Coturnix japonica: one gene and its partner. The protein of the gene in region 2 purifies or fractionates together with the protein of the main gene of each other region. This does not show direct contact. Links are inferred from orthologs where the notes say so. Each region holds a gene or a part of one and is shown on either strand. Other genes may lie near its edges.

What was found. The genes of interacting proteins can lie anywhere in the genome.
Region 1: the proteins of SMAD2 (region 2) and SMARCC2 purify together in Homo sapiens (affinity purification with mass spectrometry; 3 studies listed by BioGRID, with this or other methods). This does not show direct contact. The link is inferred for Coturnix japonica from reciprocal best matches to the Homo sapiens genes SMAD2 and SMARCC2.

What each region holds. Positions count from the first base shown.
Region 1 is NC_029544.1:895,531-900,401, reverse strand, and holds the start of SMARCC2 (SWI/SNF complex subunit SMARCC2), read left to right. Parts: upstream 1-1,747; 5' UTR 1,748-1,791; coding exon 1,792-1,902; intron 1,903-1,985; coding exon 1,986-2,105; intron 2,106-4,221; exon of another isoform or gene 4,222-4,227; coding exon 4,228-4,313; intron 4,314-4,587; coding exon 4,588-4,669; intron 4,670-4,750; coding exon 4,751-4,843; intron 4,844-4,871. Other genes in the region: RNF41 (E3 ubiquitin-protein ligase NRDP1), read left to right, coding at 1-333. UniProt on the Homo sapiens protein: Involved in transcriptional activation and repression of select genes by chromatin remodeling (alteration of DNA-nucleosome topology).
Region 2 is NC_029547.1:1,320,273-1,324,470, reverse strand, and holds part of SMAD2 (mothers against decapentaplegic homolog 2), read right to left. Parts: intron 2,401-4,198; 5' UTR 2,348-2,400; coding exon 2,112-2,347; intron 1-2,111. UniProt on the Homo sapiens protein: Receptor-regulated SMAD (R-SMAD) that is an intracellular signal transducer and transcriptional modulator activated by TGF-beta (transforming growth factor) and activin type 1 receptor kinases.

The sequences.
Region 1 (4,871 bases), on a different chromosome or scaffold from region 2:
CCCGCCCGTGTGACACGATGGGGTGGGATGATCTCCACGCCGGATGCTGTGCTGCAGGCCGTGATTAAACGCTCCCTGGTGGAAAGTGGCTGCCCCACATCCATCATCAACGAGCTGATTGAAAACGCCCACGAGAGGAACTGGCCTCAAGGCCTGGCCACGTTGGAAACCCGTCAGATGAACCGACGTTACTACGAGAATTACGTGGCCAAACGGATCCCAGGCAAACAGGCCGTGGTGGTGATGGCCTGTGAGAACCAGCACATGGGTGAGGACATGGTGCTGGAGCCGGGGCTGGTGATGATATTTGCACACGGAGTGGAGGAAATATAAATGGACGTTGGAAGAAGCGATGCTTTGTGCTGAGGAGGGGGCTGGGACCGAGGCCTGGGGTGGATGCTGCCAATGGCCGGGCTCTGCTCACAGCTGGATGAAACGATTCCATGTCCCCCCCCCTTCCCCCCAAGTCCCCCTTATAACCGCTGCATCCACCCCAGCCCACCCCCCATTTGCCCCCTGCAGCTCCATATCCCCACTTGGTGTCTTCAGAGGGGGCAGAGGAGGCACAGCTGCACCCCGGGTACTGCTGGGCTGCTGCCCCATGGACTTCCAGCCCCATGGACTTCCAGCCCCATGGGCTTCCAGCCCCACGGATGCTCACGCTGTGCCTGCAGCCCCCCCGGCTGCCTCCCTTGTGCTCTCTGCCCTATGCTGCCTGTGTCTGTCCCAGGGGGCCAGGCCTGGCCTCCCTCTCCCCATTTAACCCTAAAGGCAGAGCTGGGCATTTATGGGCGAGGGGGAGCCAATGAGGGGGGGGGGTGGGGGGAGCAGGGAGGGGGTCTGGCACCACCCTGGGGGGCAATAGGAGCCCCCTCTGCCCCACTGCTGTTCCTCTGCAGCCACTCGTGCTCGTGGTTCTGTATTATTTTGTACTACTCAGCCTTCCCCCACCCCTCCATTCTTACCCCCCCCCTCCATTCTCCTCCCCCCCCCTTTGATTTTGGAGTGCCACCGATGGCTTCATACCCCCCCTTACCCCCCCCCATTCACCCTATGGGACTTTAATTTATTCTCATTCGTTACGTTGGTTTTTTTTACGGTCCTCCCCCCCCCTTCCCCCTATTTTCCGCTGTCTGTACGATGCGGTTCCGGGTCTCCCCCCCCCTTGTTGGTGGGGGGGGGGGGGGGGGGGGCGTTCAGCGATCAATAAAAACGGCTGTTCTGGTTTCTGTAGCGAAGCTGTGGCTGCTCTAGGAGGGGTCGGGGGGGGGGTCACACTAAAAGGGGCCGAGCCTTTCTGAACTGCTCCGTGTTATACAGAGTCCCACATTAAAAAGGGACCCCCCCCCCATTAAAAGATAAAGCTCCGTCACGGACAGGATTCGAACCTGCGCAGGGAAACCCTATTGGATTTCGAGTCCAACGCCTTCACCTCTCGGCCACCGTGACTTCAGCGCCTCCCTCATCCGCGCTCCGCCTAGACCCGGCACACCGCCCCCATCCATCGGGTCCTCCGTGCCGCCAGGGGGCGCTGTGTTCACTCATCTCCATTCGGCCTGCAGGGGGCGCTGTGCACACTCACCCCTGTTCTGCCCGCAGGGGGCGCCGTCCTGCAGTACCCTTCATTACCGGCAGGGGGCGCCGTCCCGCAGTTCCCTTCATTACCGGCAGGGGGCGCCGTCCCGCAGTACCCTTCATTACCGGCAGGGGGCGCCGTCCTGCAGTACCCCTCGTTACCGGCAGGGGGCGCTGCGTCACGTCACGGCGGGGAGCGGCCCGGCCCGCTGGAAGATGGCGGTGCGGAAGAAGGACGGCGGCCCCAACGTCAAATATTACGAGGCCTCGGACACCGTCAGTCAATTCGACAACGTCCGCCTTTGGTTGGGCAAGAACTACAAGAAGGTACGGATCGTTCGGGATCCCTCATAGGCCTCACGGCTCCGCTTTACACGGAGCCAGGCCCGAGGCTGAGCCCCCTCCCGCAGTACATCCAGGCCGAGCCCCCCACCAACAAATCGCTGTCGAGTCTCGTGGTTCAACTGCTGCAGTTCCAGGAGGAAGTGTTCGGGAAGCACGTCAGCAACGCGCCGCTCACCAAACTGCCGGTGCGTGACTGGGCCGGGCGGACAAAGGGACCCGCAAACCCCGCAACCCCCCCCAGGGACACCCCAGGACCTGCACGACCCGGCCCCGTAATGCCCTGGGTTGGGGGGGACACATGGGACCCCCCCCCCTCCCTTTGGAGGGGTCTTTGTAAGACCCCCCCGGCCCCAAATGGCCCAGCTGGGGTGGAGGGGACACATGGGGACCCTCCCCCTTCCCAACCCCCCCACCCCCTTTGGAGGGGTCTTTGCAAGACCCGAGGCACCCCCGGACCCGCAAGGCCCGGCCCCGTAATGCCCTGGGTTGGGGGGGACACATGGGACCCTCCCCTTTCCCAACCCCCCCACCCCCTTTGGAGGGGTCTTCCCCACCCCCATCCCTTTGGGGAGGTCTTTGCGAGACCCCCCCGGTTCCAAATGGCCCAGCTGGGGGGGGGGGGGGACACATGGGGACCCCCCCCCTTCCCAACCCCCCCACCCCCTTTGGAGGGGTCTTTGCGAGACCCCCCCGGCCCCAAATGTGGGATGACACGTGGGGACCCTCCTCTTCCCCCCCCCCCTCCTTTAGGAGGGTCTTTGTGAGACCCCCCCGGACCCGCAGGGCCCGGCCCCGTAATGCCCTGGGTTGGGGGGGACACGTGGGACCCCCCCCCCCCTTTGGAGGGGTCTTTGTGAGACCCCCCCGGCCCTGCAATGCCTTGGTGTTGGGGGGGACACATAGGGACCCTCCTCTTCCCCACCCCCGTTCCTTTGGGGTTGTCTTTGCGAGACCCCCCTGGCCCCAAATGGCCCAGCTGGGTGGGGAGGACATAGGGACCCTCCCCCTTCCCACCCCCATCCCTTTGAGGGGGTCTCTGTGAGACCCCCCAGGCCCCAAATGTGGGATGACACATAGGGACCCTCCTCTTCCCCCCCCCCCCTCCTATAGGGGGGTCTTTGTGAGACCCCCCCGGTCCCATAATACCTTGGTGTTGGGGGAGATACATGGGACCCTCCCCTTCCCCCCCCCCCCCCCTATAGGGGGGTCTTTGTGAGACCCCCCCGGTCCCATAATACCTTGGTGTTGGGGGAGATACATGGGACCCTCCCCTTCCCCACCCCCCACCCCCTTTGGAGGGGTCTTCCCCACCCCCATCCCTTTGGGGAGGTCTTTACGAGACCCCCCCGGCCCCGCAATGCCTTGGTGTTGGGGGGGACACATGGGGACACCCCCCACCCCCCACCCCGTTTGGAGGGGTCTTTGCAAGACCCGAGACACCCCCGGACCCGCAATGCCCTGGGTTGGGGGGGACACATGGGAACCCACCCCCCCACCCCCCTTTGGGGAGGTCTTTGCGAGACCCCCCCGGCCCCAAATGGCCCAGCTGGGGGGGGGGCACATGGGGACCCTCCCCTTTCCCAACCCCCCAACCCCCTTTGGAGGGGTCTTTGAAAGACCTGAGACACCCCCGGACCCGCACGGCCCGGCCCCGTAATGCCCTGGGTTGGGGGGGACACATGGGACCCTCCCCCTTCCCAACCCCCCACCCCCTTTGGAAGGGTCTTTGCGAGACCCCCCCGGCCCTTGGTGTGGGGGAACACATGGGGACCCACCCCCCCACCCCCCTTTGGGGAGGTCTTTGCGAGACCCCTCCAGCCCCAAATGGCCCAGCTGGGGGGGACACACATAGGGACCCTCTTCTTCCCCCCCCCCCCTCCTTTAGGGGGGTCTTTGTGAGACCCCCCCGGTCCTGCAATGCCTTGGTGGGGGGGGGACACATGGGACCCTCCCCCTTCCCACCCCCCACCCCCTTTGGAGGGGTCTTTGCGAGAGCCCCCCAGGCCCCACACGGCCCAGCTGGGAGGGATGGACACATGGGGACCCTCCTCTTCCCCACTCCCATCCCTTTGGGGGGCTCTTTGGGGCTGGGGTTGGGCGGGGGGGTTGTTGGGGTGGTCGCCCCCATGGCATGGAGCAGGGACAGCAATGGGGACAATAGGGAGAAGGGATGAGTCCCAGTGCTGCCCGCTGTGGGGCATTGCCTGCTATGTATGGGGTATTGCCTGCTGTGGGGCACTGCCCGCTGTGGGGTATTGCCCGCTGTGGGGCAGCCCCCCCCCCGAGTCCTCCCATCCCCTTTTCCAGATCAAATGCTTCCTGGATTTCAAGGCGGGGGGAGCCCTGTGCCACATCTTGGCGGCTGCTTATAAGTTCAAGAGCGACCAAGGATGGTGAGCGGCATCATAGGGAGGATGGGATGGAATTAAGGGTGGTGGTGGGGTTGGGAGGGGGGAGGCAGAGATTTGTCTGCTCTATGGGGCACAATGGGGGCGGTTACAGCCCTGGGTTGGGCAGTGTGTTGGCTGCCCATCTGTGGGTCACAGCCCCATACACAGATCCCTGTTGGGGTGTCCCCCCACCCCCCTTTAATGGGTAAAATGGGGCTGAGTGATGAGGAGACCTGAGCTGTGGCTTTCATGAGAGTCGCTCTTTTCTTCCAATAAGGCGGCGTTTCGATTTCCAGAATCCCTCGCGGATGGATCGCAACGTGGAGATGTTTATGACCATCGAGAAATCCCTGGTGCAGGTGGGAGCTGCTTCCCTCCCCTCCTCCCCACCTCCTCTATTTGTTCCCAGCTCTGTTTAATCCTTTGCTTTCCTTCCCCAGAACAACTGCCTGTCCCGGCCCAACATCTTCCTGCACCAGGAGATTGAGCCCAAGCTGCTGAGTAAACTGAAGGACATTATTAAGAGGCACCAGGTGGCTTTTTGTATTGGGGGATATTGGG
Region 2 (4,198 bases):
GATGCCAACACCCACTCCATCTGTTTGCTTCTGCTTTCTCAGAACCTCCATTAGTCTGCGTAAGAAGTTGTAGTAATTCACACGAGCAGCTTGGGTAGCTCACACAGCATCAGCCCCACTTTCTGTGTGGTCACCTTGACAAACAGCCAGAAACAGAACAACGCAATGGGATTATCAAAAGCTGTGTGTATGCAGATTTCTGAAGGGGCAGCTTTATTCAGTCCCATCCAACCCACTATCAGTTAGGGGATGAAAAGAAGTATACTAGTGATGGTATGAAGCAACAGCTCCACAAAGGCGCATCTTCACAGCACTCGCCAATATACTGAGTTAAGCAGTTATCACAGATTCAATCTACAACTGGTCAAACACCAGCAACGAAAACAGAAACAATAAGCCTCTACTCATGACAGAAGTGCACTTCAGCAACTGAGCACCCCAAACCTCTTGCCCACAATGAAGGAACAAAATGTTTTCTAGTCAACCCTTTGTTGTTTACCCCCTGCTGAACTGCAGACCTTTAAGAAATTCGCTGGAATGGGTCTCAAGCAGAAGTTTTAATTTGCTTACTAAATCCATAAGCAAAAAACTCCAGAAGTCATTACAGTACTGAACTGACATTTGGTCTTTCCTGGGAACCCAGACTACTGATGTCAAAGTGAAATAACAGCAGCGGTCCAAAAGCCAGCTATGAAGATGAAGTCTGTGTACTGATATCATCTCGCCTGTTAGCATCAAAGCCATTTGTAAGTTTAAAACTAAACCTTATGCCAACACCCCCCAAAGAGCTCCAGCTACCAGCTTACTCATACAGTAGTCAAGAAAAGTAAAACATGTGAGCTCTCCTTCAGCTGACCCAAGGATAGGTGACAGTCCATCACAATCCAGCAAGAACTGCCCATCACAACAAGGCAACTATACAGAACAGACAAGAAACCCAGAAAATTTGGGGACAGTCTGGAAAGAAAATGCAAGTGGGAGGTGACATTAGAAACAAAAGGTGAACAGAAAACAGAGGACAGAATGAAAGGAGCCATGTGTATAGATTACAGAAAAAGCTATGTCAAACCTAAAGCCATGATCAGATAACAGCCATAACACATCTGATAGGCAGCAACCACTACTGACATCAGTTGAATGTAGATGGAACTACGACTAAAACAAAGCTTAAAAGTAGCTGGGATCAGTGTGCTAATAAGACAGAAATTGAGGTCATAAAATATGCAGTTTCTCTCTCTTAGAAACTATTCAAGTGTCAGGGGGCTAAATGTCCAAAATATTCTTGTCACCAGACTTTCTTACAGTTTTATAGAAACACACCATAGTGATTTGAGATTCATGGTTCACCCCTGACACGCTTACACACACACCTTCAGTGGGATTTCTGTACAACATGAACCTACAGATACACTTAACAAACAACCCTCGCCTCTCGCACAGCAGTTGCAATGAATGAAGTTGAGAAAGTCAAAGGGGTAGAATGCGAGCTGTTCACCTAAATATACATATATATAGGGAGCAGAAGAGAAGATCTAAAAGTACTCTTAAGTTATTAAATGAAAAGCACTTTCATGAACCAATAAAAATAGTAATTAGTCTTCAGACAAACTACTTCCACTAATGTTTCCCTTCAAATGGGAAAATGGATGCAGTTTGTAAAACTTCAACAAAACTTCCATATACAACTGAAAATTACAATTAAGAGGACTGAAGTGTTGACCAAGGAAAAACTAGTCTTTTTTTGTTTGTTTTAATGTGGAAGTGCATGTTCAAGTAAGCCTCTCCAAATACAGAGAGAGTTATAAAGTAGAAGCATATGGCAGTGTTATGAGCAAAGAGCTGCACTAGATGCACCACCAGAACATACACAAACTGGAATCCAGGTAGTAATAAAAACTGAATTGTAAACGTATTAGAAATTGTGAATGTACAAAGCATGTGATTCAGTTCAAAGAATTGAAGCAAGCAGTACATAAAACTAAAACAGGTTTTAAAGTTTTTTAAAGAATCAAAGGCATGCAACTGATTCTGTTATTAATTTGTTCACACAAATTAACATCCATTTAGTCATTTAAGTGGTTGTAAGGAATGCCGAACGCAACAGGACTTACCTTGGTATTGTCACACACTTGGTATTGCAGTTCTGAGTGGTAATGGCCTTCTCGAGCTCATCCAGCTGTCCCGTTTTCTTTAGCTTCTTGACCAAGCTTTTCACTGCTTTTTCACACCACTTCTCCTCCTGCCCATTCTGCTCACCACCACCAGCCCCTCCAGAGCCACCAGCAGATTTTTTCCACCCAAGAAGTCTCTTCACAACTGGTGGAGTGAATGGCAATATGGATGACATGACTTCCACCAGACAGAAGGCTCAGCACACAATTGGAGATTCTCGTCTGATCTCTAAAAATACAAACCAAAACAAACACATTAGCATTGAGGTTTTACTTGAAAACATTCCTTGTTTGGGATCTTCCATTATCTATATCTGCCATTATACTATAGGGCATTCCACCTCCAAACAATTCAGGTAGTGGTTCACAACATGGATCTCAAATCCACTTCAAAGTTTGATGATGAGTTTATTCCATGGCTCTACCAACAACTCAACAGCCTACCAATAATCAACCTTCCTAAACATCACTAACTGAAATCATCATGTCTTTCAAAATCCATTACAGGATATTTAAAATCTCATTTTGTAGGTACCAGAGTTCTATTTGTTTTGAATTCTGACACCCTTTCATTCAGTTCCAATCAGGACATTTACTTCACAGAAAAAATCAGGAGAGATGCTGAAGCTTTTGCTATGTCTGGCATTCATCCCTATTTATACTTCAAACCGATCCAAAGAAAAGATAGCCATTAATATATATATACATACATATATATGTGTGTGTGTGTATATACATATATATACATACACTTTCTAGTTTTATAGTTTGTATCAGGATACTTTCAGTTATTAAAATATAAGCCTCAAATCAGCTATATCATTTCAAGCTGACAGCTGTTGGAGCTTGTTTGAGGACAGCATAATCTACAGATAGAGTACTGCATTACACTCAGAACTAGTCAGTCTCATTTGCAGGCAGTAACTGGATGCCTCAATTGCTGTCAAACTTCTGCGCTCTTAGTTGTAATAGTGAGTGCCTTGCTGCAGCCAAGCACTAAACACTACCTTTAGGCTACTCAATCAGAGCTTTCTAGTCAGATTATGTGCATACCACACAGGCACACTCCTCGCTTCTGTCCAAAATATACCTCATCTAGTAAGATTTCTCATCTGCAAAACAGCGATGGTTCATTTGGGACACTTCAGGTTACGGTATTCCTGGTTGATTTCTGTTTCATCACACCTTCACAGTTTCAATGAGAACCAACACATCAACAAAAGCTGGGTTACATTCCACAGGCAGCTTTAAATAATAACTCGTCTAACCTAAATGAAAGGCCTCACCTTCATCTAAGGCTATAGCATGAGAAGAACAGTTCTTTCAGTGGTGTTAAATTATTACAGAACCGTGGCCAATACATCCAGCTGCAGGTCAAATTCTGCAGGCTGCAGAAGCGTTACACTGGATCCCCTGCTACAGCAAACTACAGAAACAACCTCAACAGCCAACATCTTCAATCCAACACAGAGCAGGACACTCGAGCTATGTATTCCCTAGGAGCCAATGCTGACAGACGTACACAACCAAATGCCACTCTCACTGCTCATCCACACACCCTCTCTTCTCAAGTCTAAGGAGCTCAATAACACATAACACAGGCATTCCCAATTCTTTAACTTCTCATTTGTCACCTTTCAACTGCTCTGATTGTCAGCATTATAAAGTACACACTTCAGTAGCCTCATTTACCACTGTGTTAAGCCACCTATTCTTCCAATCCTTCTAAACATTCTCTTGTGTTTTATCTATTTCCAGACTTGCTTTACATTTGAACTCTCACATTTTTCAGACAGTCTGAGGCAAAAATCCTCTTCTCCCCATTTCCAGAAGACTGACAGTTCAGCCCTAACTAAGCAGAATTTCAACCACTCTCCCTAAGCACATTTACTAGTTTTTAGAGATACTATCTGAAGGCGTAGTTTATCTGCTAGTCTCATGGTCATATTACACTAAAGCAATTTATTTTTAAATAGGAGGACACAACGCATTCTTTGTTACACTGATTCTCACATCTTACAGTTTAA